Linked DNA regions of Oreochromis niloticus. The protein of the gene in region 3 purifies or fractionates together with the protein of the main gene of each other region. This does not show direct contact. Links are inferred from orthologs where the notes say so. Each region holds a gene or a part of one and is shown on either strand. Other genes may lie near its edges. The genes, in order: klhdc3, ufd1l and ubxn7.

What was found.
Region 1: the proteins of ubxn7 (region 3) and klhdc3 purify together in Homo sapiens (affinity purification with mass spectrometry; 3 studies listed by BioGRID and IntAct, with this or other methods). This does not show direct contact. The link is inferred for Oreochromis niloticus from reciprocal best matches to the Homo sapiens genes UBXN7 and KLHDC3.
Region 2: the proteins of ubxn7 (region 3) and ufd1l purify together in Homo sapiens (affinity purification with mass spectrometry; 3 studies listed by BioGRID and IntAct, with this or other methods). This does not show direct contact. The link is inferred for Oreochromis niloticus from reciprocal best matches to the Homo sapiens genes UBXN7 and UFD1.

Annotation. Positions count from the first base shown.
Region 1 is NC_031978.2:24,074,481-24,085,306, reverse strand, and holds the start of klhdc3 (kelch domain-containing protein 3), read right to left. Parts: upstream 3,878-10,826; 5' UTR 3,657-3,877; intron 2,131-3,656; exon of another isoform or gene 2,097-2,130; 5' UTR 2,026-2,096; coding exon 1,872-2,025; intron 857-1,871; coding exon 680-856; intron 466-679; coding exon 350-465; intron 263-349; coding exon 191-262; intron 1-190. UniProt on the Homo sapiens protein: Substrate-recognition component of a Cul2-RING (CRL2) E3 ubiquitin-protein ligase complex of the DesCEND (destruction via C-end degrons) pathway, which recognizes a C-degron located at the extreme C terminus of target proteins, leading to their ubiquitination and degradation.
Region 2 is NC_031977.2:25,879,528-25,889,619, reverse strand, and holds ufd1l (ubiquitin recognition factor in ER-associated degradation protein 1), read right to left. Parts: upstream 5,018-10,092; 5' UTR 4,869-5,017; coding exon 4,866-4,868; intron 4,672-4,865; coding exon 4,539-4,671; intron 3,538-4,538; coding exon 3,505-3,537; intron 3,420-3,504; coding exon 3,298-3,419; intron 2,878-3,297; coding exon 2,747-2,877; intron 2,652-2,746; coding exon 2,579-2,651; intron 2,331-2,578; coding exon 2,262-2,330; intron 2,181-2,261; coding exon 2,112-2,180; intron 2,039-2,111; coding exon 1,988-2,038; intron 1,908-1,987; coding exon 1,819-1,907; intron 1,078-1,818; coding exon 993-1,077; intron 897-992; coding exon 822-896; 3' UTR 424-821; downstream 1-423. Other genes in the region: putative ATP-dependent RNA helicase DHX37, read right to left, coding at 8,368-8,444, 8,530-8,627, 8,755-8,828, 9,451-9,545, 9,625-9,762. UniProt on the Homo sapiens protein: Essential component of the ubiquitin-dependent proteolytic pathway which degrades ubiquitin fusion proteins.
Region 3 is NC_031982.2:16,074,246-16,084,157, forward strand, and holds the start of ubxn7 (UBX domain-containing protein 7), read left to right. Parts: upstream 1-4,983; 5' UTR 4,984-5,015; coding exon 5,016-5,121; intron 5,122-9,912. Other genes in the region: ppp1r7 (protein phosphatase 1 regulatory subunit 7), read left to right, coding at 305-481. UniProt on the Homo sapiens protein: Ubiquitin-binding adapter that links a subset of NEDD8-associated cullin ring ligases (CRLs) to the segregase VCP/p97, to regulate turnover of their ubiquitination substrates.

The DNA.
Region 1 (10,826 bases), on a different chromosome or scaffold from region 3:
CTTTTATAACATGCCAATATACCCACAGGGAACTTATGTTGCTGATGTTCAGCTGTGTCATTTTTGTTTTTTTAAGAGAGGGTTTCCTGTTTGTTTGTTAGGAGAATTATTCTGAATGCTCAATACAGAAACACTGTCAAGGAATAACCAACAACGACTGAAAAGCAACAGCTAGTGACTTTTAACTCACTCTGGCATTAATTAGTGACCAAACCATGGTAGTGGTATCCAGTTTGTGGATGTCATTGGAGAAACAGTCAGCCTAAAATAAATAAATAAAAAATGATTCATTTTTAATGTTCACAGTGAAAGTTTGTGTAAGCAAAAATAAATCAAAAATCAAACTCACCAGCTGCTCATATCCTCCAAATATATACATTGCCTTTCCCAGGACACAGGCAGAGTGGCCGTCCCTCGCCCCTGGAACAGTCCCTGAAGTCCTGGGTGTGTACCATCTGTGAGTATCTGTGAGGCAGTCGCAGTTGTTCAATATTGAGATCAGAGCACTTGCGTTACATGCAATGGAAAACTATCACACACATGCAGGTGCTACAGCTTTCTTAATATAAAACAGTTCCTCTACTTTTTGTTGTCACAATTTTAACTTCAAACAGGTTCATCTCAAAGGAAATACACCCTGAAACTCTCAGCAGCACGAGTTAGATGAGGGTCTACTTACTGACATCAAAAGCATAGAGAACATTGCAGGCCCCCTCTGTGTCGTTACGCCCGCCCCAGAGGTAGATAGTATCATCCAGCAGCACAGCTGTGTGGCCATAACGCATGTATGGCACTTCACGGGCACGTTCGTGTCCTGTAATCCTCACTGGAGGCAGCTTCATCCAGCGCAATGACACTAAAAACACAGAAAGTAAACATTTTCCTTTTATTAAAAAATAAATAAAATATAAAAACTTAAAGAACATTTTTTTAAAATTCAATTAAAAAACAAACAAACACTAAAACAATGCTGCCCGCCAAGTTTTACTTGATACTTACTGTGTTACAAAGGAAGTTCTACATATTCGGTTATTCGCATATATTTTTTTTTTTTTTAAAATGGAAATTAGGTTGGTAGTCAGTAATTTATTTTATTATCTTTCTTGCCCTGAGAGGTTAAAATGCTAAAAATGTAAAATTTGTTAACATGCCTACAACTCTCTCACAGTGAGCTTTCAGTACAGTTAACATCACTTTAATAATAAAAAGTACCATCAAGAAAGGAAAAAAGTTAGAATCAGTCTTTGCAATAAATGGGTCAAAGGGGGGGAAGGAGGACAAAGCAAGATGACAGGAAACTGTAGTTAAAGAGGTCCCATCTCCATTACACTCAAAGCATTAGTTCCACAGATCTTTTCATGATACACCAATAGCAGGTATGCTCCATCTACTTTGGGAAGTCGTAAAACCCTAAAACAGGTGGCTGACCACACAATGGGGAAAAACCATCCAAAATGAGTTAAGGGTGTTTCTCTTAACCCATTTAAAGAAAACAGCTGTGCTTGTCTGATAGCAACTGAAAAACAACAACTGGAAAAAAAAATTGTTGCAAACCGCAATGAAAAGCTGGGGTTTAACTGCCAACTGGAGTGAGTTTTCAGTAAAGTTGTGCACATTCAACAAATTACAACAGTTTCTTAACCTTTCTCAATAAACTGGGGAATAAAAGAAGTGTTGTCCTGCCTGTCAAATAGATTTTTTTCCACCCATTTAAGATACAAAAATAAGTACATGAATCAATTTTACATAAACACTAATATAGTCTTTCCAGAATCTCATTTCATTTTTTTTTTAACTTTTACAAATCTAACAATGGATCTCTAAATATATATATATACATAAATAAATAAATGCACACATTTACCACATACCTGTGTTGAAGACGTGCACATCAATCTGACGAAGTGTCTCATAGTCCTCCCCGGAGCAGTAGCCTCCAAAGGAGTACACCTTGTGACCCACTGCCACAGCAGCATGGTTGACTCTCCGTGGCCCTCCTTCTAGGTGCACAGTCCAGCGCAACATTCCCCACTTCTGTGACTGTGAGCGCTTAGACCATCACTCTGATGCTCCCATCAAACCAAGGCCATTAAAACCTGTGACCACAACAAGGGTAGTAGCAGCACTCTGCTAAAGAGAACAACAGGGCAAGTTGTGAGGGGGCAATCAAGGACAACAAAGGGTAACTGTTGTTCCCTTGGGCTAACCTCAGCTCTGCTGTTGCTGACGGGTACAAGCCCCTGTATCTAAGCTTGTAGGGTATTTTAAGAGGTGATTAGACCTACACTTACCACGCCTTTCTATTCACTCTTCACTTTGTGCCCACCCACTGCACTACAATGAGTTAAAAGTCAGAGTAAACATGTGCCTCATTTAGGCAGTACTATAGGAACACAAAGCAGTGCCACACTACTCAAGGAGATTGAGCAATCTATACACACTATTGAAATCTTGCCAATTTAATATTTGTGAGTGTTTCTATTGTTTTTTTTTCTTAAAAACAAATACAACCATAATTTGCCCATTTTATCAGTAACGACTGACAAAACTGAAGTACGCCTGCAGCTCTTAGCTCAATGGGAAATTAAACATTTCCAAAGCGACATTTTCAGCTCTGAACAGTGAAATTTAAGTGATATAAAACGCTACTTGTTAAACACAAGTAACCCTGCCTCGCTGACCCCCTCCCCTCTCCCCTTGCTTATTCTGTCCCTGTGACACACTTTACCACTGACCTCCAACCTTTGTTTACCGTTAAAAATAAAAACCCCTAGAGCACCATTTAACATAGACCTATTTCAAGCCCACATATCTATGAGGAGCAACACAAGCACAAATCTAGTCACCAGGCATGTTAACCTTAACTGGAGCCAATATTTTCGATGACTGCACTATGTGCACAATGTGCAAATTGACACCTCAACATGCAAATACAGTTAAACCATTTAGCCTTTCCCAGGTTATTCAAAGTTAGCAGTATAAGTGCACACAGTTTCCTTTATACATACTTAATACTCATCTGGAATAATTTGCTATACAATTAGACAACATGAACATTTTGCAAGAGCCGAGCTGAGTAGAAAGCACCTTCTTTCCCCCTGTCCTATTGAACAGTGTACTGTTGACATCAGATGACTAACAACGGTGCTTCAAAGTACACAGCGGCTATCAAGTAAATAAGACTTGTTTGGAAATGGGTGCATGCTTCTGCACAGATCTCGATTGACTGAAGCACAAACTGTTGATAGATGAAGCTAATCTAAAGCTGGTGACATTGAGCTGTAACAGTTATAACACCCAGTGGACGCCTCACACACTAGCTAGCTTTGCTCTTTAGCTAACGTTAACAGGCATAACAACAACCTTTTGAGGCGCACTGACTAGCCGCCGCGGTCGCTTATCTCTCAACATCACCACCACAGTAACGAATATGGTGCTACTGCAAACAGCTGTTTGACAGCCAAGGTGCTAGGCTTTGAGAGGCTAGGCTAAAGCTAAACAGTCGAAGCTAACTATTTAGCTGTTAGCAAGCTAACGTAAACTCTAAACAAACGACAGACAACTTGTAACACAAAGACATTCACTCCCAGCTTTGGCAAAGTTACGAGTTAGTCAACTGAAACAGAATAACATTCATATATGTTCAATTTTGCTACCTTCGAGCCGGTTGTGGTTGACAGGCAGCCAGGCAGGGCTATCCCCCGAGAGCCCCTACCAAGCGTGATGGAATGAGAAGTTACCGCGAGCACCCCCTGTCGGCTGTTTTATACCTGGGAAAACACGCACGTGAGTCTTTCTGCTTTAAAAACAGATGGATTTACTAACTGCCGTGCTAAGTGCAAAATAGGTCAGCGGCTGCATTTTTCGACACCGTTTTTGCACAGCACAGAGAGAAGTTAGAGTTGAGTGTCTTGCTGTAACTGTGATGTTATGCAGAATGGCCGGATTAACCTGTTAGGTGACCCAGAAGCTTAACGTTTTTGTCATCTATCCACGTGGCGTGATCACATAATAATGACACCAGTTACTATAACAATGAACATGTTTAACATGTAAATTAAAATGTGCCAAGATTGCAATCACAATGTCATCCAGGAAAGCTGATTTTTCTTTTTTTTAAGGGTTCATTGCAGTCACTGCTTAAAGGCTCTCTCGTCAAGATAAACTATCTGTTGGATATCTGTTTGACACACTCCATTCTAAAATATACATCAATGCGGAAATATAAAATATATTCAGCAAAGGCAGTCTTCCTATTCAAACAGTAAAACAGTTACTGGATTTTTTTCATGTGTATCCATCTACTATACCCGTTAACAGCAATGGATATATTGACTGATAACTCACTGTGTTTTTCAGTCTGATGGTCCAACAGTAAAAGTATGGGCCTTTTTTGGGCTAAAACAAATCTAGGCCATTCTCCCAGTGCAACAGAGGGAAGCTGGAGAAATAATTTAAACAAGAAAAAGAAAAACAAACGAGCAAAACTCAACCTGCTACTGGCAAGTTCTCTGTCAGAAGTAAGAAAACTTCCTTTAAAGTCATACTGACATTTGAACACTAATAACAAAACAATCAAGACCTTCCTGAAACTATGTTTTGTGGCTTGTATTACTGTGTCCAAACAAGGATGGTTGAAAAACAATTTCATATCACTGTTTATCACGAAGTACCTTCCTAATATGCTAAACAACCCTCAATTCTTTACATTTTACTTCCAAGGAGCCTGAAGGGATGAACCACTGCAGTGGCTACACATAACTTAATTAAAAAAAACTAATGCAGTGTGTCCTTAAAACTTTGAGGGAATTGAAAATGGAGGACAAAAGAAGAGCCAGACCGAAAGCTCTTCTACAGTGTGTCCTTTGTCCTGTCTTCTGCTCCAACTGGTTGTGGCAGATAGCTGCCCATCCCTGAACCACATGACTCTGCTGAAGGTTTCTTTCTGTTAAAAGGGGGTTTTCCTTCCCACTGTCACCAAGTGCTTGCTCATAGGAGATCGTTTGATTCTTGGGGTTTTGTCTGTAGCATTATAAGGTCTTATGATATACAGATTGCTGTTGTGATTTAATTATTATTTAAATAAAACTGAATTGAAGTGAATAGGTTCACTAGCCACACCCAGGCCTGATTAGCAATCGCTTAAATAGAACCTGTCTGACAAAGTAAAGCAAGTTCAAAATCACAACAAGCATCGCATCATGCCACAAACATGTAAGTGCTACAAATATTTATTTTTTTTAAAAAGGACGTCAGGAACAGGTCAGATACTTTTTCACAGCCCGGCATGCTTACACATATTTTGATAAATACTGCATCTAGTTCCCATTTTCCTAGCAATATATAAAGAAATGAGGTGTGTTAAGACCTTTCTACAGTACTGTAAATTTATGTCACAGACTGTTTTTAACTTTTAAGCAAGTATCTGTCCTTTCATAAAAAGGCTTCTAGAAATCCTTGTAATTGAACAATTTGCAAATTCTGAATGATTTTTGTTTAAGTGCTCTTAGCTCATAATTTAAGGTGTCATAAATACAAATGATGTGGAATTGCTGTTTTAAACAAATATAACACGGCAACTGAAATTGAACAAGCAAAGTGATGAAGCGCCATTGTTTTTGATACTGTTGTGACCCAGACGAGTATTTATGTGACATGCACAGTAGCGTGACTAGAGCAGTAGATGGCACTGTTGAATTGCAAAGGTTAACAGATACCCATCACACAGCCTCCTGCCCAAAAGATTGTGAATCCCTGTCATACCCTAGTGTACAGTTCCTACCCCAGTATTATTGGTCATATATTGTGACCAGCTTATTCATTGGGTCTGGTTGAGAAGCTCTTGGGCAGCAAATTTAATCTGATAATAATAATTTGATACTGTTTGCGTGACAGCCATTCATAAGGCCTGGCAGAGCATGAGCATTTTGTATGGAGCATCCCAGGAAATCTAAGTGTTACACTGTCAGCATTGTAGTCGCATATACACAAAGGCTGAAACCCAGCTTGCCTGGCACTAAACCAGTGTACCCAACCACAAAATAAGGCTAACAACCTCAGCTTATCCCAATATAATGATGTGGTCAAATCGGGGAGTTCTTGCATATCTATTTATGTTTGATATAGAGAAAAGCCCTTCATGTTGCAGCTTGCAAGCACTGCATCCAAGTCAATGCTGTCAATAAATAAGAATGTGCTCCTGGGCAGCTTGCCTGGGTTAGAGAACAAAATAGCTTTCATCTGAGGTTCATATGGGCATGGCTGACTTAATTCCTACTGTAACTGAGGTCCAGGTGATGGGGCCGGGGGTAAATGTGAGCAATTAACTTGCTATTTTGCTATGTGCAGCCTATCATATATACTAGCGAATTTTACTGAAACCCACAAAACGGCCTGTTTCACACGTCCACACTGTGACTATGACACACTATGCAATTTTATTATCCTGCCTAAATTTTCAAAGGTATAGAATTACAGGGGTGGGTTAAGTGTGATCAGCTTGGTTTAAAATGTTCAGACTGATATGAAAGGAGTCTCGTAAAAGGATTATGGCACTGAGGATCCACATTACAGCTGCTACGGATCTGACTGCATCACTGCCCAGGTCCGAGTCCACTCAGGAGGGGCTCTGATTGATTCACTGTGTGTAGGCATTCCAGCCCCGCGCCAGCTGCACGTCACGCACAATGGTGAGATTGTGCCTGCGGCTGTCCAAAGACAGCTGGTCATGGCTGCCCCTTGGAGCTCTGATAAGTGATTAGAGAGATATCTGAAACTTTGTTGCTGCTGTAATTTTGTCAGCTGACATTAAAGCATATTTCATACTGTTTTTTTCCTTTATCTTGACCTGTTACATTGCAGCTGAAAACTTTAAAATGAATTCTGACAGTCTGATCTGGTGATCCTGAAAGCTGTCTACTCGGCAGTTCTTTATTATGCTCTGACTGACATTACATATTTACAGCTAGATGATGTTATGGTCTGGAAGCAGCCCCAGGAATTTCAACTTGGCTCCGTTTTTTGAAATGATGACATGTCTGCAGCACATGTAAGGTAACTGTTTTATTTTTCTACTTGCAGTCAACCTTCATACTGTATATTGTGGAAAACAATACGCCTGTATACTACCGAGGAATACTATTAGTTTTTGTGTGTGTTCTAGACATAGTCTGTTTTTTTTTTAAGTGAACAGAGAGCCCACCCTAGTGAAAGTGTTTCTTGCAGCTACACCCAGTCTGCAGTGCCTAAAAAAAAAAGAAGAAAAAATCCCAGCCCGCCATCCCACCTGTCAGCGTTTGCACAGATTGCGTCACCCATCTGCCCTGCTGAGCCATTCTTTGACACATTTGCTTAGTGGCGTCCTTTACAAACTTTATAGCCAGCACATGTGTGTGTGCGTGTCTGCTTTGACATAGGGAACAGAAGTTCCCAACTGCAGCATAGCTCCGCAAATCAACAACAACTGCTAAAACCCAACTGTTGTTCGCTATTCTCGGGCAGGCCCGGTGATGGAAGAGCTTTGCAATGCTTTTTGTGGCCGAGAAAAATACAGCTTTTGCGTAGAAATGGCTCATTCGGTTAACCTTTTTCTTTACCATGGGGTATAAAACTTCTAAGTGCGCTGTTATTATGAACAGTAAAACCAGCTCCATGCAAAATAAACCAATTTATATAAAAGGAAAGGGGGAAGAAGGTTTTTTTTTTTATAATGTTGATCTGAAAAACAAACACTAATTTAATATACTTTTGTAACATTACTCCTTTCTGCCTCGCTTTTGTGTTAAATTACTGCATGGATCTTGCCAGAAAATGTTAATATGTTTTACATTATTACGGACCTGCTCCTGATCTTCTTTCATAGTTTCCACTACGTGTTTTCGCTGCATGGGTCTAAGTTAAGTAACATTCTTACAGTCATAGTGTTGTTTGAGCATTGTCCCGAAATGTCAAATCCTATGCATCCACAGGCTATCAGTGCTTTGCTACATTGTGCAGGCAGGATCTCCGGATGTTTAACGTACGGATTTGACTTCCGCCGTAGCTCGATTAGGTAAGCAGTATTGAGCAGTCCAGAATGATGTCATAGAGCATGATCTAACTCTGTGGCCAGATGACTGAATCATACATTTTCCTTTAATTTCGGGGTTATTAAATGAACAGAGCTCCTCTCTGTGAGTCTCTAAAGAAGACGATTGGTATGCGCCTTAGGTCATTTTCTCGCTTATGGTTCATTTGAATTGCTCTGAATTAAGAGAAAAATTAGTACTTTGTAGCAGCATTTATTAGTTAGGCTGTGTTTCCAATTACCAATTAAGTAACAAGCTGTATTTTATAAGGAAAGTCATGCGGCGGTGCAGGGAGGCGGGTTATTGGACAAAGCTTAAAATCCTAAACAGATGAGTGATTTAATAGCGTATTATCATTTCCACACTGGTCATAAAAAACGCAAAAATGCTTTGGCAGCAGCCAAGATGAGGGGAGAGTAGGATCAAACCGATCTGACCATTCTGTACTTCACCTCAGATCCTCTCTATGGGAAGAAGATCGCTTAATACAGAATGCTGATTGTAATCTTTTTTTTCTTTGACAGCATATGCCCACAGTCTGCACATTTTCTGAAGGTTTTCTCTGGCTTGTTTATCTCTTTCAAGGTTGGTCTGAGTGATGCTGTTAGATAGAATAGGGAGAAGTTTGTCTGTGGGCTTCTCACCTTCCAAATTTAAAAAAAAAAACAACAAAAAATCCCAACAATTAAAGACAGAAGTGTTCCTAGATTCAATGCAACTGCACAAAATAAAGCAGATATGAAAGTACACGTAATTTCTTACAGTCTCATGCTCTTCCACAGCAGTTTTATCTTCTTTTGAGTTTTTTGTCCTGTGTTATTTGTGCTTTTAAGAGTAGGATAAAATAATTATCGTTCCACAGAGTTTTCAGATTGACTGCAACAGCAGAGACAGGCAACTGTCTGCAAGGCATATTTTCACTTGAACCGCTTCAATTATGTGGCTCACTTTCTATTTTAGCCCTAACCTCACCCCTCTTCTTCTCATACAGTTGGTACAGTTGTTTTGAAGACTGCACAGCACCTGCTTAAAACCCACTTGTTGTTATCATCCATGGGTAGGGGCCAGATAAGGCAGTGGCTGCTACTTTCCTTGGATGTCCTGGGGATCTCTGAGTCAGTCAGTGACAGGCCCCAGTGGTTCTCCCACACCATATCTGAAGACACTTAAACACTTGAACCTCCCATCATCCTCTTTTGATGCTTAAAAATAGTTTGACGCTGCGGTCTTTTGAAACTCAGTCATTTACTGTTTCTTTTAAGCAACAGATGACCTAGAATAATATAAAAATATGCGTGAGTCTTAACATCCATGCAACAAATATGCCAAAAGAGGCTCATAATCTGGGTTCTCGTGTTTTCATGTCCACACAAACGTTTTGCCGTGGCTTACAAATTGTGACTGAATTTTCAGAATTTTATAACGGTTGGTTAAAATCATTTTTGTCCTTTTATGTATTGTAAATTGTCTGTACAATCTGGGAACCCACAACCCATGTCTTGTCACTCTGCTTTATTTGTCAAAGTATACCACAATGCGGTGCTTTGTTCATATGTCAGTTGATTTTTTATCATCAACAAGTCATGCATAACTCAGACTGGTGTCAGCAATGAGCTCATTCATTCCTCTAACAGGAGGTGACATGAGTGAGGCAAACAATAACGCAGAACTTTGAGGTAGGTCCAGCTTGTTATGTGAAGGCCTCAAGGCCACCTTGTTTGTCAAAGCAGGAGGGGGGGATCGCATTTGCCTTTCCTATATTAAACCCAGACTCCTGAGGTGAAGTGTAATGACGTTTTCAGAGTAAGACTGAATGAGTGTTGCCTTAACTGGTTTTCGAGAAGATCAAAAAACAAATGAGACGTTTTCCAAGTTGTCTGTGTGTTTATTGATGTATGAATCCAATAAAAAACTGACAAAAATAATTACCTGTACTGAAGCATTAAAGTAATCTGCAACACAATAGTGATCTTCATAGGATAATTCAATATCTTTTTTTTCCCTGTCTATATTTCCCAGTTTTCCTAAAACACTTGGATTAAATTTAGTTTTTTGTCTGCTGTTTTACTTGTTTTAATGTGCATGATGATTACAGATCCACTGGATGATTGTATGTATAAACATTTATTCCCAAATGTCAGTATAAAGGCTGATCTCTCCTTATTTACTCCTTCTGTGCTGACAGACTTTAACAAACCTGTCCACTTAGCAACAGTTGCCTATTCAGATGTCAAGTACACATGTTATCAGTATACTCTAAGCAAGCTGCATCACATGATTAAAGTTCTTGCATGTGATTAATAAATCACACCACCAAGTCAACTGAGCTTCAAAATAAAAGCTTGAAGGCACCCAGCTTGCCACTGAAATGACATCAGGGGTCAGATGTTAAGCGTCCCTCTCAAGGTGATTGATACTTTCGGAGAGGGCAAAAATAAGCTACAGCTTTTTTCCTGTTATTCAACCTTTGATATGGCAAAATTGCTTCCTGCTGTTGGAGCACAGATGCCTAGTCAACGGATGATGTCACATAATGGGACCTGATCCCAGCTTTCAGTATGACTGCTACCTGAAGGTGCAGTCTGTCTGATACAGTGTGTCCATCTTCTTGTCCTTGGGGAGTCTTGAACCTGCAGCCCTGAAGCCACACGTGGTTCCTTATTATTTTATTTTTTTTAATTTAAACAGGAAGTGAAACCACTGAGATTAAAAATCTTCTTTGCAAGCTTGTCCAGGCTGACATAGGCAACATTAACCTAG
Region 2 (10,092 bases), on a different chromosome or scaffold from region 3:
TACAGTTTATTTAAAGATATTCTGCTTTTAATGGAACGAAAAGTATAAATTATTTGGAACAATATTTTTTCTGAAACAATTAAAATGTCGGTTTTCTCAAATCTGAATTTGTAGTTACTATTGCTGATTGAGAGCTCAATCATTCATTATTTTACCCATTTATGTAAACTCACCAATTCCAATAGTTTATCCACTAATCATCTTCTTCATATATAAATACTCGACTCAAGTGATGTCACAGAAAGAGCATAATACCTCAAAAAATAGGTCTGAGTGCAATTCATTTCAAAACACCATTTTATTTCTATATAAATAAAGCAAAAGAAAAGATTCCTAAAAGTCAGGAAAAAAAAAACCTTCAAACATAAAATTATTCTCAGTATAATCAAAACCAAAAGCTCCCATTTTATAGTAACACTGGGATTGTGGATAACAGCATATTTAAAGTGGATTGTAAAAATAAAAAAAGAATTATGGAAAAGATGGGTCTGCGCAGAGTCGGAGATCATTCAATCTGATATAAGAACAATAGTTGCTGTCATTTTTTCATGTTCTTGAAGAGACATTTCCTGAAAATCAGTCACTCTGAATTTGTGAATACCAAATTAGAGCTGACATTTTAGGCTGCTCAGATTCTTTTGAGCAAAATATTACTGTCAGACTTTTAATTACATGCTATAATCAACTGCAAAACCTCCATTTCAAAAGGGACAGGGGCAAAACCCAACGCATCTGAAAACCAATACTTTAATACACCTGCTGAAGGTGAAAAGAATAAGATAGGTCTGTGCACATAAGTCAGACTCCCCGTTTGTATCTCTTCAAGGCTTTCGGCCCTTCTTGCGTAGTGACTGCCCTTGTCCAGAGAAGGCGATGAATCTGTTCATGGCATCATCCTGAGAAGATTTAGAAGAAAATGGAAAAATATGGCATGAACACTAAATATAAGACTTTAAAAATTGCCAGGAAAGAAAACTGTTTGCATTACTTACATCATCCACAATTTTCTTGGGCTGAGGCCTGGAGTTTCGAATGAAGGTGATCCTGCCAATTTTGAAGTCATAGTTGGGAATCCCTCTGTGTGACGAAACATTAGACACACAACAGCTTGGGAAACCATTGTCTGCGTGGTGTAGCTGTGTGCTGTCACCAGAGCACAGCTTAAAAACATATGTAGGACAATACCAGTGTATAGTTACATTGGTATATTTTATACTTCTTTGCTGTTCAGTACATCTTAGTAGAGACAAACACTCACCAAAGCTGTGCAACGCCATGTGGACCATTCAGAAAGTTCAATAACCACTCCAGTTTTTGTTTTTGTTTTGTTTTTTTTTAAAGGTAAACAAAGAATTTTCTGACAATTATGGTATGGTTCAGGCTTTAGCATTCAGGGTTAAGACCAGGGTACCTAGTTGCCTTACAGCATAAATCCGGTATTCCTCTCTGTTTTTATGAAGCATAAAAAAAATATACATAAAAATGCTCAGAACTCAGACAATTTAAATATATCTCCTGACAAACTCATGTGCCTCAAGATGTCACATTCTATGTCTCAACTCAGCTCACCAACTTACGCCTGACCAAACCTGCAACACAGGTAGCCCTGTCTGAGATCTCTAACATAGCCTAATAGATATAATGGTTCCTGCTTGGGGCCTTTAATATACTGAACAGCAGCAGTTTGAGCTGACTGTCATTCCTCTCCTAATCCCTTTCACAATATGCTGTTAAATAAAGGTGTAACATTCCCTGTAAAAATAGCTTGTCTTAACAGTTGAGCTAATTTTATGGGAATGTGTAAGACACTCTTTTCACCTTTTAATGTCACTTGGGGCGATGGGAGCAGGGCTGGGTTCAATTCCTTTAGTTTTACCATCCAAACGATTACCAGAACCGGTGAAAGCCTGAAAATAAAGCACAGATTAGAGATTAAATTATGTTCTTTAAGTACTTATAGTAGTAGTACACATTAACTTGAACTCACTCTGAAGCCTGTGTCCATGTCAGCATAACTGCTGGGATCTGTTTCTTCCTCCTGTCAGAAATACAGTTTTATTACATTGTTCAAAGCAGAAAATGTACAGTTACCATGATGGTTTGCTCCTTACTGTTGGTTCATCCTGGTGATTAGGCCGTCGTTCAGGCTCTTTGTAACCCAAAGGAGCATCAAAATCCACCTGAACAACAAAGTAACAGCACATGAGCAAGCAAAGCAACAGAAAAATTCACTGTGACTGTAGTGAAGTCCGGGATCTTACATTCATATCACACTCGATGATGGATACTGCTTTATCTGGTTTGGTCTCCATTACTCGCAGCTCATATATCTGAAACACACAGATTACCTTAGCCTCGAAAACAAACCACACACAAAATCACACGTCACACGTAGGCTGTAACAGAGTATAGAAGCACTTGATCAAAGCCATCCATGACCACATTCATTATAGGCATTTTTTATGTGTTTTCAAACTTTAAAACTGCAGAAGTCTCCTGTTTAATCTTCCAGGAAACTCTCCAAGAACAACCCTTGGTCACATATAATTACAACAATGATTTAAAGAAACTGATTCACCTTTTCGTTGTAGTTAATGGCTATGACGTCACCAGTTGTCAAGCATGCAAAGTTTCTCAGTGCGTTCTCCAGTCTGTAATGAATGTTAACCACTTATGTTAAAACATAAAGTGTCAAAAAAAATAAAAATTTAAAGTTCAAATAAACATTTCAGCCTGTACTCCTTACACTGCTTTGGGGTTTGTAATGTCCAGGAAGTCGGGGCTCTGAGGCTGGAACTTTGAGTAAGTGGCCACCATGAGGTTGACACTTTCCACCTGAACGAGACCGCCTTCCTCTAACAGGAGATTCTGCATCATCTGCAGCGAACAAAATACAGCAAATGTCACTCGAGCCTTCATTTTTTTCTATTTCCATCCATCTATCAAGTCATGGGGGAAAGAGTGCAAGGTGGGAGTACTCGGGGAGAACCTATGCAGATAAAGGAAGAACATCCAAACTCCGCACAGAAGGCCTGCAGCCAGCTGGTATATTTCAACCCTGAATCATTGTGCTGTGAGAAGATAGTGTGAACCACAGCATCGCCAAAGATTTTAATCAGCAAAGAATATTTAGTTCAACATGTTGCAAATACCAACAAATTTGGATTTTTAAACTCATACTTCTACAACATTGTTATCCACTTCCACACAAGAAGAATAAGTAAGTGCTCCTCCACTGCTGACAGGAGACAGTTCAGCCTGTGTGATGGTGACATTAAACTCATTACTGTTTCTCACCCAGTGAGGTAGGTAACAGATTCCCTCGTCTGCCACAAACTCCAGGACACCACAGTGTGTCATTCTGTCTGAGTTCTTGTTGGTCAGCTTGAACAGCATTGGATAGGTAATGTTAAGCCTGCCTGAACAGAGGAAAATAGAGCAATGCTAAAAACAGGATGTAAACAGGACATTTAGTAAGAAGTTTTTGAATAAACGTGCGCTTACTGAGCTGGTCGAGAGCTGAAGGTGGCATTATTACTGAAAAGAAAAGAAAAATAACAGTTACTTTAAGGAAAATATGTGTTTTCATAAAATATGTTGAAATACGATATGCAACTTTCACCTCATACATACCAACATAAACTTGGACATTTTGAGGATATTGTTTTTACAGTTGTCTTTTCTAACAAGTACCACAAAGCAGTAAATAGTTAAATAGTTAACTTCAGATATGTTTGCGGTACCGGATGTATGTTTGGACAAGGGAGCTGGTTACACCATGTGGATGTTGGCACATATTACACCCACAATACAGTGGTGAATGCAGAAAATTAGCTACATGTAAACCTGCCAAACATTACACCATCGCTCATCAAACTCTATGTCCAATTTGACTTCATCAGACATTTGAGTTTTCACAAGTGCTTCAGGAGGAATCCTAGTCAGATGGCTGGACGTCCTAAACTGATGTGAAGAAGTAGAAGGCCTACCCTGAGGTCCTTCCCAATGACTAAGTTCCCCACCTTATCTCTAAATGAGAGCTTAAACACCCCACAAAGGAAACTCATTTCCCCCAGTCTCTTAAATGTACTGGACTGATGATGCACCAATCTTCCAAAACACATTCCCTTTTTGATGTTTTAACATTGATGGTGGAGAGCACTGTCTAACATACTGAACTAAAACAACATGTTCAGAGTGACTTCTGAAGGATGGGAGTTTCATTTTCTTCCATCAGGATTAAAATGTTTAATCACAAGATAAAAGTCAGTCAGAGCAACTCTGTATTGATTTCCAGTGACCTTTCCCTCTAAAAAGCAACTGTGGAACCAAACTATGACATCAAGCAAAACAGAATCACCAGATCCTGTATTTGCAGAGGTCAAAGATTAAGGTCTTTATTTAATTCTTCACCTATACATACTTTAATTTGAACGAGTGGTATGGGAGAAAATACTGTACTTCAATATCTTTTGTTCAGAAACCTTGAATTGGCCGCCTGTCTAAACCAACATGACCATTCTTTGAATGAGACTAACTTTTGCCTCCTTTCTCAACATCGGAGCGGTCGTTGGGTCCAGCCAGCATGGACACCGAATAGCAACGATACTGAGTGGAGAAACGGTTCTGAAAGCCCCGGGCCAGCTGGTGCTCGAACACATGGAAGGAAAACTGTGGAACAAACATCAGGCTTGTCAGTCAAACTCAGGTTACTTCAGAGCAAATAGATAACAAATGAATTGTTCAGGACAGTGGATCTTTATGCTGTGCTGTAGTTCTGTTGCTAGCCGCTAGCTAGCTAAAACTGCAGCAACTACGATTTGTTTTGATACAAAGTTACCGGCGAGAAAAACCACAGTGCTCACCATGTTGACTGTTTCTGTTCCTCGCTGCTAAACGCCCGCTTAATGATGTTTGTTTCAGATTTTGTTTCAGTTTTCTAATTTAATGACAATGCATACTACCCGATCCGTACCGGAAACCCGATCGGTACCCCGCATGCGCGAAAGGTGTCTACTTCCGGTCGAAGCGTTTTACGATAGTTACGGGTCAGAGCAGTAGCGGTTTTTGATACGGGCGACACGGGCGGTTGCCCGGGGCGGCATCGTGGTGGGGGCGGCATCACGGGCATCGGCAAAAAAAATAAATAAATACAAAATTGCTGTACTCATGCTGCCACCGACGTCATGCCAGCGCATTTTGTGAATGGCATAGGCACCGATCAGTTTTCTATCGCCCATTTGCTGGGAGCAAGGGCGCCCTCCGTTTGCTAGGTGCGCCTGCTGCTTGCGGCACAGGGAGGAGAGGGCGGGGCGGCGGGGGATTCTCTGGCTGGCTGGAGCAGCATCTAATAACCAACTTGCAAAATAAAACAAAATAAAAACAAACCAACAAACACGAAAACACCAGAAATTATGATACAGACTTATAATTTGCACCGATGTTTTTTCGAAATTCTATACGCGAAAAGTGAGCGCGAGAGCCCTCGGTGCGCCTGCTTGCTGCTGAAGTCAAAGGAAACTTTATTGTTATCTCCACTACATACAGTCCAGTATGTAGAGAGACGAGACGACGAGGCTCCAGTTACAGCAGAACAAGTAAACAAACAATAAATATAAGAAGAGCAAGAAAATAAATATACACTTTAGGACTCGGGGTAAAGGGATCAATAACAATTTATAATTTACAGTTTTAAGATTTGAAGTCTCTCACACAACCTGTCGAAAGGGGAGGGGGGCGGCTGCTTCCAAATAGAGCACATGTCATTCATCATGTTGTAAATCCAAGCCCATTATGTATTCATGATTTGAATCCTGGGTTGTGCGAAATCCCAGAAATAAACCCTAGACAAAGTGACTCTGTGAACTAAGGTGTAGGTTTATTAGGTTATCTTGTGGTGATCCTCGGGTTGGGGGATGGGTGTTTATACTGGAGTGGAAGATTAAAACCAATGGAAGATGGACAAGAAAAGTTCAAAGCCACCAGGTGCTCAGTTTAGAAAAAAGAGAAAAGAAGAGGAGGAGAAACGAGCAAAAGATACAGATAAACAGATGTGTCATTGGATAATGGCAGGTCACCCTGAAACAATCAGAATCAGAATACTTTATTAATCCCTAAGGAAATGATGTGGGTTACAGTTGCTCCAAGAAGAAATGGTAAAAATAGTAACAGTAGCAGACTAAACTCCAAACAATACATTATGTTACAGATTTTACACATTTAAGAAATAGCACTAATATATACAGATCACTCAATTATAAATATCAAGGATTAATAGAGGTGATTATAAATAAATATTCAGAAGATTGACAAGAATATTACAGAGTAATAAAGAGTGTGTATAAAAAGGGTGCAACTATTGAAGTGGGGGGGCGCCAGAGGGCGTGTTCGCCCAGGGCGCCAAACAGGCTAGGACCGCCACTGGGTCAGAGTATCTGTTAAGATGTTAAGAATAATAAATGTCTCTTAAAATGTTTCCGATAATGAAACATTTAATATAATGTAGACAAAAACAAAAAAATAAAAAGATAGTTACGGATCAGGACTCCCCGATCCGTACCGCGCATGTGCAGGGGTTTTCTTCTTCTTCTGTTCGTTTAATGGCAGTTTACTCCCCAGTGTTCGAGGATACCGCCTCCTGCTGACCGAGCGAACGAACCCTATTGTAAACTGAATTAGCGTGATTTCAAAAGTGTGTTAAATTTCATTTAGTGATAGTCGAGTGTGTTTATGCTTGTCTGTGTGGAGAGGATTGATTGGAATAGTGATGATGATGTCCACTATCACTGTCAATTGTCAGTAAACACATCATCTGGCTGATGAATCTTCATGTGAGACATTACAAAGTCTGTATTATTAACTCTGTAATTTGGCGCCATTCTTCTTATTTTACGGCGCTGTTGTTCAATCGGGGGATGCTCTCTGTTGAGGAGAAAAGCATAAATTTGTTTGTATACGGATTATCCATTGTTTAAATGTCCCGGTGGTCGAAAAGGAGGCACAGCTGTTGAGAAATGCTAGGAGCTAACTGGGCGCTAACCGTATCATTCAAATATATTGAATGTCGCAATGTTGGCAAAGAGAGGAAGTGACGTAAGATTTGCGCATGCGGGGTACTGATCGGGTTTCCGGTACGGAAATGGAAATCAAATGGGATGGCAAAATCACAGCCTTTAAAAAACCACATATGCAGGTGTTACATATGGTTAAAATGACTCAAATGCACTAAGTATATACATATTTCATATAAATATAGTCTATAACTTAATTATTTTCTGTAGCCCACATAGTTGAACATTTCCGTTTCATAAAACGTGAATTTTGATTCTATGTACTTTATAGCCTGTATAATTAATAAATATGTAGCTCGATAAGTGTAAAATCCAGAAAGCAACACACCATGGGGCGGTTCATTTACAAACACAAGTCTAACTTAAGTTTCACACTGTTTTTTGTGTGTAAAATCTGAAATGCCCGTGGTGTTGATTTAAAATGTGCTCTGGCACAATTCTAGGCATCGCTTCCTACTGACAACAAGAAAAAAAGCCGGTCTGCACTTTGGGCTGAACCATTTGTTAATGGTGGGTGGGAGGAGGGTAACACCATGCAATATATTCAGTTTTAGAATTTATATTCAGGGTTAACTGTAGCTAGGCTCAAAGTGTTAATGCTGTCTTATTTTAATAAACAACACTGTCATATACAAGACTAGGATGGCACTTAGGGTGGCAAGGGAACATTTTAGGGTGGCACATGCCACCCCATGCCACCCTTCTAGATCAGCCCCTGGTAGTGCTCTTTTTCAAGTTATTTAACACAGCTTATTCAGAGCTTTCATTCTCAACCACTCCCACCCAGTAAACATCCACTTGCTTTAACAGTTTAATGACTCTGACTCCATCCTAGAGTTAGAGTAGACCAAGTTGACATCAAGTCTTATTTTCCTCATAAGCTGGTAATAATCCTCATGACAAATAAAATGCCATACAGTGCAAAAGTGGTTCAGTTGACCTTTAACCTTCAAGCACACGTATTAATAAGCATGAAATCAAATACAAGCTTTTCTCACAGTCACAGTGTTTATAAGTCTTATGAAGACCAAATCAGACATATATAAACAACAGCAGCACACTGATGACAAGTTAAAAGACATTTCAACTGTGCCTGTATATCTACTTTACAAGTGGTACAGTAAATAAAATATAAAACTAATACTAAGGCAGTGTTGTGATATTGTAAACACCCTTTGATTAACCATAAAAAACAGACACCACAGTCAAAAGATTTAGGCTCTGCCAAAATGTAGCTCCATGTGATGTCTCCGGTCAAGAGTCTGTTGCATTGTCTCGGTTGTTTAGACGCAGGCTTTTATAGAGGAGGCCAACTTTTAGCTACTTCCTGGTGCACAGATTCAGGTAACCACTGGCAGTATGCAGTAAGCAGAACTGGAGGAGGAGAAAAAAACATTGTACAATTAGATGACAAAACAACTAACCAAATCAGAAGCAAAGTAAGAACATTAATGCTTACATTTCTCTTCAGTCTTCCAGACAGAGTGGAGTGCCTCTCTGCAGTCAACTTTCTTTGACACCAGTGGTCCCAGGAAAGCCTCTGTCCTGGGCTGCAACCTAAAAACGGCAAAGACATGACAGTAAAAGAAAAAAACTCCTTGAGATGTGCTTGTTTATGGAGTAAATGAATTAGGAAATGCAGTAAAAAGGGAATAAAAGTGTGTGTGTGAGAGCACCAACTTACTTTGCCCATGTTTTCAGCATGATGGAGGGGTTTGAGAGCAGGTGACTGCTGTGTTTCTTTAGTGCAGGACAAACCTGTTAACCATAGAAAGTACACATTACAGTGAGTGAGATAAATGTTCCTGTCAGGTTTGTTCATTGTGCAGTTCGTGCTAGGTTTCCCGTGTTTTTATTTATTTATTGCTGTTTTTGTCACAAGGATAACTATGGAAACCAAATGGATTTACGTCCCTATCCTCACCTATGATCGCAAACTTTAGGTAGTGACTGAAAGAACGACATTGTGGATACAAGCGGCAGAAATTAGCTTTCTTAGAGGGGTGGCTGGCCTCCCTCTTAGAGATATGCTGAGGAGTTCAGCCATCTGTGAGGGGTTCCGAGTAAAGCTGCAATTCCTCCACATCAAAAGAAGCCAGTTGAGGTGGTTCAGGCATCTGACAAGAATGCTTATTGGGTGAGATGTTCCGGGCATGTCCCACCGGGAGGAGGACCAGGAGAGATTATATCTCTCAGCTAGCCTGGGAATGCCTTGGTGTTCCGCCGGACAAGCTGGAGGAGGTGGCCGGGGAAAAGGCGGTCTGGGCTTCTCTGCTTAGGCTGCTGCCCCCGCGACCCAGCCCCGGGTAAGCGGAAGAAAATGGATGGATGGATGGATGAACTACAGGAAGGGTTGTTCAAGATAAACAAAAAGCAGTACCTGTCCCTCCAGGAGAAACTTGGCAAACAGCCTGTAGCGCTCCAGGCCCTCTGGATACTCCATCTCCACTGCAGGCAACTGCCAACCCACACGGACTACAGGAGAAACACAGCAGTTAAGCAACTGTAGACAGAAAGAGGTTTCAGCTCTAGTGCTCTGCTGTGGAGAACTCACAGAAGGTGCTTGAACGGTGGCATCTGATGGTACCGGTAGAAGAACAGAACCACGGGGACGGCGACTCCAGCGGAGAGCCGAAGTGACAGTACTGCGGGAGAAACTGTGGGACCCACTCTGCTTCTACAGCTGAAACACCTGACAGGAATAAAGGAAAGGCATCAGTCTGCAAATCTTGTTTCAGTAACCCAGCGCCACTTTATTATCCTTTAATTAGGGATTAAAGATATTTAGAAAATAGGTAAAAATGATTAAAAACAAGCATGTAAGCAGCCATACAATCAGGACTGTGCCACAGACTATAAAAGATGGACCTGCAGATTCATGCAGTAACAACCTTTTAATCACAAGGTAGTCCCTTTTATATATTCAACTATAAAAAGTTGTGACACACATGTAGGAATCAGACACATCCTGGCAGTCAGTTCGAATTAAGAGGACACATGTGATTTTATTCCCTTTCAGTCT
Region 3 (9,912 bases):
TGAAGGCGGACATACAGAGGGCTGGTTGGACAGGGAGCAAAAATGACAAAATAAATGACAGAAAATTCAAAGTAAGACATAATTAGTTAAAGTACCCGTGTATTTGTATCACATAATTTTTTTGTTGAGCAGCACATTTAAAACAAAGCTTTCTTAAAAGTACATTTTTGTTGCTACGTTCAGTGTGTTGCTCTTTAAACAGTCGGTCAGTACTAAAAAGTTTCAAAGTGTAGTTCTTATATTGTTATGAGTTAAGCCGATGGTGCAACCTCACTGCTCTTGTTGTTTTGTATTATCTCCTCAGATGAACGATAATCAGATAGATAACTGGTCTGATCTTGATGAGTTGAAGAACGCCACTTCTCTGGAGACGGTCTACCTTGAAAGAAACCCTCTACAGAAGGATCCACAGTACCGGCGAAAGATCATGCTGGCACTGCCCAGCGTACGCCAGATCGACGCCACCTTTATCCGCTTCTAAGCTGCAGTGTACGATTTACCTGCCAGCTTCACAGTGTTCTCCCTCACCTCCCTGCCTGTCCTGCCTACACAAACAACAACCTTTCGATTCACATTGGCGTCACTCAATTATATAGCCGCGTCACACATTCCAACATATAGCTCACCCACTGCTCACTCAACATACATGTATGCATGTATGCACTCATTCAAACCTTGATCTGTACTTTTGTGTGGAAGCTTTTATTTATTAAGGTGGACCTGTGAAAATGAAAAACTACCGTACACTCATTTCCACATTTTTTTCCTCTGCACTTTTTTCCCCCCCTTGTGTTGTTTTGCATTTGGGATGTGCTGTTCTCAGTCATGAAGTTCAGGAAATTATGAAATCAGTCTTATTTATCACACTATTGAAGTTTCACTGTTATCATAACAGAGGAATTCTTAACATTGGAGGCATTCTTGTATAGTTAAGGGATTTTGGGAGTTTACTTCTTTCGGTTGGGCGGAAAAAGGCTGGGGGGGTTTTTGGGCAGGGATGTTGAAACACATCGAGTAAAAGAACAATTCAGCGTTAAAGGGAAAGTCTATAACATAATAGAAGCTGCTTAAGTTAAACTTTAGGATATGGCTCACCAAGCTTCAAAACTGTTCCAAATTTATTACCAACTGTGACAGTTTGGGAAGCCTCTAAAACGAAGCTCACAGCGCCATAATGACATCATGCTGACATCAAGCAGCATGATGGAAAGCGGATCCTTTACGGCTTGATTTACCATTTTAATAAACTGGTTCTGTTACTTACAGAAGGGGGGATTTTTTTTCCATGTCCAGCAGCCTTGTCTGTTCCTTGTTCAGAGATTTTACAGCTTATAGATCCATTTGCTGATTAACAAAACTGACCTCTGCAGTAAATAAAACTCATGAGAATGTAAGAACAATTAATGTGTCCATAATGATGGTTTTGTAATCAGTGGTGCCGTCACTTTTAGTTTATTTTAATTTTTTAGCCTTTAATGCATCACTGATTACTATGACAGAATATTAGGGCCACATTGGGAAAAACAAAAACATTGTTGCTCATTTTGAGAATAAAGATAAAATTTCGAGATTAAAGGCGAAATGTGGAGATTACCGTTGTTGTTTTGAGACCAACTGCCACGGTCGCACTACCCTCTAAAAATGCCTTGTTTACATGAGTTAGTGAAACAAATTGTGATCAAACATGCATCCTCTTTATTGGACGAGAGTGTAACCACGGGTAACCTCGCATCTGTCCACTGCCAGCCATTTCATTTCGTACAAATCAGCTCTTCTGTGTTTGTGTGTTTCTGTATAAACTTTTCAACGTCCTTAAAAGAGAAATCATTTCCTTACTTGTTACTCAAACTGATTCTGAAGTACGATTTTACTAACCAGGGGGTATGAAAACCATGCTAGTTTGTCTCGAAACAACAACTGTATTCTCCACATTTTGACTTTTTTTCTCAAAATGATTGATTTTTTTTTCTTAATGTGGCTGTAATACTTCATAGATTACAGCTTTAGATTTCTTTGGCTAAAAAAATGCTCATAAAGTTTATTTGAACTGATAAAATCAAAATGTAGATTTTTCCTTCATTTACATTCTATTGGCTGGTTTGATCTCATGATAACTAATGTAAGATAGACTATTAATGCTGCTGGTACAGACAGTCTTTATAAACTACTAAACTACATTCAGCAGATGTGTGAAGACACTGCATTGATTCATTTGGCATTTAGGATGGCTTCAAAAAAAAAGAATTTCTGTGTATTTATTGACAAGATTTAATACAGGATTTTCTCAGATCAAACAATACAATGACTGCCTGGAACCAAAGTTAATAGATTACTCTTTGGGTCTCCTGTATATAGTGCTCCTGTATATGCTTGAGTGCACTTGGTTTTATCCCTGGTACAATTAAAATGCGATGCATCTTTTATATGAAATATGAACTCCCCACCTCAGGGCTTTTAAGTTCACACGTGAATATAGTAGAGAAGCATCAAATTTATGTGTATTAAATGAGAAGTGCTAAACTAAGTGCTCCCTTTGCACTCATAATTATAACCTGATTTTATTTGGATTCATTGGAAACCTTTGAATTGTTAAAAGTACCCTGAGTTGGCATTTAAATCTCCCACTGTAGCCTAAAACCCACGCTGAAATGTTGGTTTCTATCGTAGAACAGCTGTTTATTGTGATTATGATCACAGCCTTTTTAAATCCAGTTGCTTGTGATCGTAAGCATAAATTAACAGTAGAACAATTATCAGACTATCAGCACTGACGTTCTTGCTAATTGAAATGAATGTAATGTTATTTTTATATTCAGCTTGACTGAAACTGGCCAGTGGGATTGAAAGTATCACGTTGTGTATTTGTAAATAGTTTGGACATGCCATGATGTAGAAAGTCAGTGCCATCATCACCTTCCCTTTGTAAAGTGACATTCTTTTTCCTCTTGTTTTGTTTTCACCCGGCAGAACAACAGATCTGTGCGAGATACTATAGTTTAAGATGACATGACTCTGACTGGTCACTGAAGGAGCAGCTGTTCAGATTGCTGTTTGCTCCTTGTTGTTAGGACTGAGTCTTCAGGTTTTGGGCTTGGTTGATGCCGTTTTCAAACTGAATGTATGATGCAAATAACAATAAAATGACACTACTTAAGAAGCGGGTTTGTGTAGTTTTAATTTCAAAGATAAAGAGTCTCATAAAGCACAGCTGTGAAACTTAATTCACCGTCAAATGATTATGTAGCTGGGTATTAAAGGATCCTTTATTATGACAGCTGCTTAATAAATTAGATTTGCTATATTAACAGCCAAAACAATAACAACACACTCTATGAAGCCCCGCAGCTCATCATCTGTCTGAAACAAGCTGTTAGCTGCATAGCCATTTAAGCCAAACTTTGGGTCTCCGGTGAATTAGAACTCATCCTATTGGCTGCCCCCAGCAAACAGATGGTTTAAATCACAGGTGGGTGGGGCTTGCTATGCTCACATTTTAGGGGACGTCCATCATGAGTCATCATACAGACTCAAGAGCAGGAAAATATATAAGAGTGTGATGTGGACCATAAAGTCTGGCCTCAAAGGGACTGCTTTTGCATATGAAACTTTGGCCATGTTTATTAGCAGTATTTGTCTTTTTGTTTATGCATGCATTACGTATGTATCTGACAATAAGGAAAAGCATAATGAGTTTCTTTTAAGTTAAAGTTACTGGACTTTGACTTTAAACAAAACTTAATTCCTTAATTAAAACTTAATTTCTTGAAAATCTAGATACACTCACCTGCCACTTCATTAGTTACACCTTGAAATACACCTTGTTAGTTCCCTGTTTTCTTTCAGAACTGCCTTAGTTATTTGTGATTCAGATTCAACATGATGTTCAAAACATCCTTTAGAGATTTTGGTCCATGTTGACATGACAGCATCACACAGTTGCTGTAGATTTGTCACTTGCACATCCATGATGTAAATCTCTACTTCCACCACATTTCAAAGGTGCTGTATTGGATTGAGATTTGGTGACTGTGTACGCAGTTTGAACAGAGTGAACTTATTCAAGAAACCATTTTGAGGTGATCTGAGCTCAAGTCTTCTATTGTTCAATTTGCCTGTAGGAACTCTTATCTGACAGTAGTGGCACCCGGTGTGGTCTTCTGCTGCTGTGGCTCATCTGCTTTAAGGTTTGACGTATTGTTTACTTAGAGATGCTGAAAGAAGTCTGGTTTGTCACCTCTGACCTGTGGTATCAACATGGCATTTTCACTCAGAGAACTGCTGCTCAATGGATATTTTCTGTTATTTTCAAACCATACTCTGTAAACCCTAGAGATGGTTATGTAGGAAAACCCTAGCAGATCAACACCTTCTTAAATATTCAGACCGGCCCGTCTAGCACCAACAACTATCCCATTTCTTCCCCATTCTGATAGTTGGTTTAAATTTAAGCAGGTAATCTTGACTTTGTCTACATGTCTAAATATGCTGAGTTGCTGCTATGGTATTGCTATTGGCTGATTTTGATATTTGCATTGATAAGCAGTTGAACAGGTGTACATAATGAAGTGACCAGTGAGTGTAGATGAGTGTAGATATGTTGACTGAATTATGACCAGGTAAATTATGTATGAAATATAGCAGTCTACACACAACATTATCATATGAATAACTCTGTGTCTACAGCACAGAAAATGTAACTAGCTGGTCTCAGTTTCTGAATATGAATTAAAGAAAGGTTTATATTTTTAGCAAAATAGCAGGAAAATAAAGAGAAATTTTATTAATTTTTATTACTAAGGTAGAAGGGTATATAATATAATATAATATAATATAATATAATATAATATAATATAAAAAAAACTGTGTAAAATTCCAACACACGTATTTTTTTACGTAATAAGCCAGCAACGGCAATTGACTTTAGTTCATTAAAACTACATGACCCAGAATGCAGCACTATTGTTACGCATGGGGTCCGCGTCGCGCCGGGCAGGGGAAAAATTACGACTTTGCGCATGCGCCTCATCTATGTTGTTGTTTGTGGCGGTAAGATGGCGGCGCTCGGAGATACCTCAGCTCCGGGGGTGAACGGGTTAATACAACAATTCACAGCAATAACAGGTAAAAATAACATTTTAATTAGCGTTTATTTCACTCAGTGGATTTTTGTGCTCATATAGGAACACTTCCCTCGCCGGATAAATCTTGAAATCCGTGCGCAGATGAGAAAACGGGCGTTAAGTGTTGCTCTTGCTCCTGCGCTGCCAGTGGTTTGCAGAGGGGAAAAAGCACAGGCAGTTATCAGCTAAACTCAAGTGAAAGACTCGGAAAATGAACCTTTAAGCCGGCAGCTTTGAAAGTTATTTTTAATCATCACTTAAAAATGTCTGCTTTTCTTGTTAGTGCTCGTTACAGACACAATCTCGCTAACCTAGAGCGGTTTTTATGCTCTTTTTTTGCGTGGCGTGTTGCTCGATAATGTGGAATGGAGGTCGGCTGTTCAACATTTCCCTTCTTCATCACCACCAGCCAGACTTCATGTTGTTACTGTCACTATGGCTCTGGCTGTGGCCCCAGACACTATTTATTGGTCACAACCTGAGGACTCCGAGTGTCAGCGCAGACACTATCTGTAGTTTATCAGCACTTTGACACAGTGGACGGTGTTTTTTAAGTTATTAAGCGGCAAAGAAGAGGGAGACTCTGTTCAGGGGCTGCTACTTGATACGGACATGCGCAGTACAAACGAAATCTCATCGTCGCCCCGCGGCACTCCGCTTAGAAATACTACAGGTTCATTCAGATGTGGAGTGTCCAAATCACTGTCACGACGTTGTGGACTACCGCCATGTGTGACATTAAGGCTTTTTGCATTGTTCAGGTGTTTTCGCACATTTCCGTTTATTTACCAAACATCGCGTGGTATATGCGGAGCATTTCCGCCCACCAAACCTTTTCTGAACTGAAACTGAACTATCACGCGGTTGTTTGGCGTTAACTCATTTCACTATAGTGATATAGCGTTAGTTTAAGATGTGCTTTCTTTGTCCCAAAAGTTGGGGAAACTCAGTTAAATAAGTAAAGCATTTTTTTTTTCATTTAAAATCAAAATAAATATAAAAGGTAAAATAAATGTGTCCATTGTCAAAGTGACATGTGGTTGCTTCTGTGACCACATATACGGAAAAACAAGTAATCAAGTACTAAGATACTACCAAGTTACTAAGTACTACGAGACTATGTTGTCACATGATAATAAAAGCATTTGATCCCTTGAGTGAATAAAACACGTGTGTATGTACTCATAATGTTTAGTGAGCTGGTTATAACTTTACTCTGGGCCTTATGTGGAACACTTATAGCATTACACAGTGAAGTTTGAACATTTAAGATTTTTTAATGAGGTCAGTGTTGCTGTTTGCCACACTCTGTGCTTTGCTTTCGCCCAGTTATATGATTTTATTGATACTGCTGACAGTGTTGTTAAATTATTGGTGAGGTTTGCATAAAGCAGAAAGAAGACTTGATCCGGTATAATACAAAAAAAGCGGACAAAAGGTTCACTGTCATGAGTTTGATGTGATGCTGGTAGGGATGGGTATCGTTTAGGTTTTATCCGATACCAGTGCCAAATTGGTACTTTTGAAACGGTGCTTGAATCTGTGCTTAAAGAATGGAGAACACAAACTTCGTCCAAAAACCTCTCATGTTTTTATTTTTAGCAGTCTCTTTTTTTCTGCAAAATGATAAGAACCGTAACAACATATAAACATCATCTGTGCAAAGATTTATGTTTTTAAAGTGAAACAGTGAAAAATTACAGCGCTGTCAATACATGAATATCCAGACGTTGTACAAAAATGTCCAATTCTTGCACACAATTGGACACCATGCCACTTGATTTTTTTTAGGTATTTAAGAGCAGTCATTAATTAATTTTATTAACATGCCTAAAAATGCTTTTTTTTAAAAATGCGTTTTTGAAGAATTAACCATACATTTACATGGTAATGGGCCTTTTCTGCCATGGAGCACGTAATTGGTCTCTGGCCCTTTAAAATCTGAGGGGCTGTAACTTTGGTTTCTTTTGGTCAATTTGCATGATTGACACCTCTTTTTAATTGTTTGAGCCAATATCTTGATGCATTCTCAATCATCCAGGGAAGTAAATCTCCAAAAGTTGAATCTGTTCATCTGGACGTAGCGTTTTGTGGGAGAAACGTTTCGTCACTCATCCAAGTGACTTCTTCAGTCTCAGAGTCTCAGCCAGTAGAGTCACAGTAACGATGCCACGTTCACGTTACGTCAACCAATCAGACGTTGTAATGCCAAAACCCACGTGGGCCCAAATTTACTGCATGTGACGTCTGTCCAGTCACGTGTCTATAGGTGGGTCTAAAATGGAGGTTGTTGACGGAAAACGACTCTGATGCGGCTAGGTAGGCGTGGTAACTGCTGATAATCACATGGCTACCGGCTACCGGAGAAAATAACGGAGGAAATCTGGACGGTAAGCCAATGTCTGTCTTAGCGCATTTGCGCCGCTGTGTGTTTTTGTGGTCTTCTTTTGCCGCTCATTCAGTGAATTTTGGTCAGAGTGTGGTGAAACTTGGTGTTTGGAATTGGTGATAGGCTGGTTATCTTCCAGCGCTATCTTTAGCCGGTTACATGAAGTCTGGAGAATTTCTGGTTCGCCTTGTTTGTATAGCGGACTTGTGCGCATTTACATAACTGCTCGTTTAATCATGGCTTGTTTTCGTTGAGTTTGGTGGTTGTAGAAATGGTTTATATGACATTTTAGCTGAGATTCAGAGGTTTCTGTGGATACCACACGTCTGGACTTATATTTCTCACCCCGTGTTATAACCGATTAAACGTGATCTCCTCCTTTTTGTTCGCGGTACCGGGGGTGTGGGGCTTAAAGCACTTGTTGCAGGCTGCTGAGTTTGCATCTTTTGCTGTGAAGTACAGCCAGACTTTTGACCGCTTCGCCTTGGGCATTTTTAATCTGTAGCTCTGCTCTAAAAGAACATACGTACCTGGGCCCGCCTACTATCCTTGTAAAGGTAAAATGATTGGCTAGAATCCAAAGTGTATGACATCTCAAGAAAAAAAAAAGCACCGAAATAAAGCACCAAAATGTGCGCTGCTTTTCGGTCTGGTTACTACTGTTTATGTCAGAACCGAAACCGGTACCCATCCCTAGATGCTGGTGACACCTTGGTGTAGTGGTTAGTACCGCTTTGGAATCCATCCTTGGTACTCCAGCTTCCTCTAATAGTCCAAAGACATGCTTGTTTAATTGGTGATTCTAAATTGGCTGTAGGTGTGAATGTGATGGACTGGGAACATGTCCAGTGTGCCCTGCCTTTCTATGAAACTTGGGATAGGCTCCAGCCTTATGTGACCTCACAAGTGAAAGATGGAAAGCTAGACTGTGATATACCACTCTCAGAAAAACATGAGCATTGTAATATAGTAACTAGGGATTGAGGAAAAAAATGATAGAGCGAAGTATGATGATATTTTGTGTAGTGATGTTGTATGAATACAGGGACACTAAATATTGCTATTTTCTTAAAAAAGTTTAAATACCCTGGGAATACTGCAAACAAGGAGGCTGATCTAATGCACCACCATCCCGAGATAACGTTAGCCAAGCAAAATTAAACTAAATCAACTCAACTGAAAAACTATCCAACACTGGTGACACTTAGCTTGACAAAGCAACTACCTAATTCACAGCTAATGGCTAATTCAAATGAGTAAAAATAGGACAACAGCTTCCTTGTATATAAAAATAATAGGCTGTATTTAATATTTTTATATTCTGTGACCTCAACTTGAGCTAACTAAATGTTTATGCCATTGGTGATTGCACGGGTTGCCTGATAGGTGGTAACCTTTCTGCAAACAGTAACAGTCTCACTTGGACTGACTGCAATCAGCTTCAGAGAGATTGTTGGAAGTTTACAAATAATTGCGTCTAATTTATTCATGTAGACAGATTCCTAACATGTTGCCATCGGTCTGAATGAGTCGTGAGCACAGCTCGAGGAGGACTGAAGTGGCTGCCCACTGGTTGTATTCTGGTAATATTTCTCACCCCAACTGGTTGCAGCAGTTGGCCGCCTTTCCCTGAGCCTGGTTCTGCTGGAGGTTTCTTCCTGTTAAAAGGGAGTTTTTCCTTCCCACTGTCGCCAAAGTGCTTGCTCATAGGGGGTGATATGATTGTTGGGTTTTTCTCTGTACGTATGGTTGTAGGGTCTACCTTACAGTATGAAGCACCTTGAGGCAACTGTTGTTGTGATTTATTAATAAATTGAATTAAAGATGAATTATGAACAGGAAGGTTGCTGAGTGTAACTGTTAAATGTTAATTTCTGTGTATATAGACAGCAACAGATATGTGATTTTCAACAAATTGTCACAGTTAATTGCTGTATTAACTAAAATAGACTGCCTTTAGTTACCAACTTGACCCCATTTATTTGCAGACCAATAGCAGACTGTCTTATGGCAACATTTATGGCAGGTTTTAGTGACAGTGTTGGTTTGCTTGACAGTCTTTTATACCAAAAAAATATAAAAAAAAATATTTTATCACACTAATGTAATTAGGGGCTGGCCAATAATTTTTTTTTTTTTAACACAAATACCAATATTTGATTTTCAGCCAGTATATTGTTTTATTTTGTTTAGGTAGTCAAAACAAAAAATGTTTGTCATGTGTGGTTATTTATGATTCCCTACTAAGATAATATGACAATGAATTTTAAAAATAAACTTTTATTGTCATGAGAAGTGGTAGATTACTCCTTTATACTCTGCCCAAGTCTGCTTAGATTAGCAGGTTGTTGTTTGTGGTGATTCAAACATGAGTTGCCAACAGGAAAAAAACAGAGTGCCCTC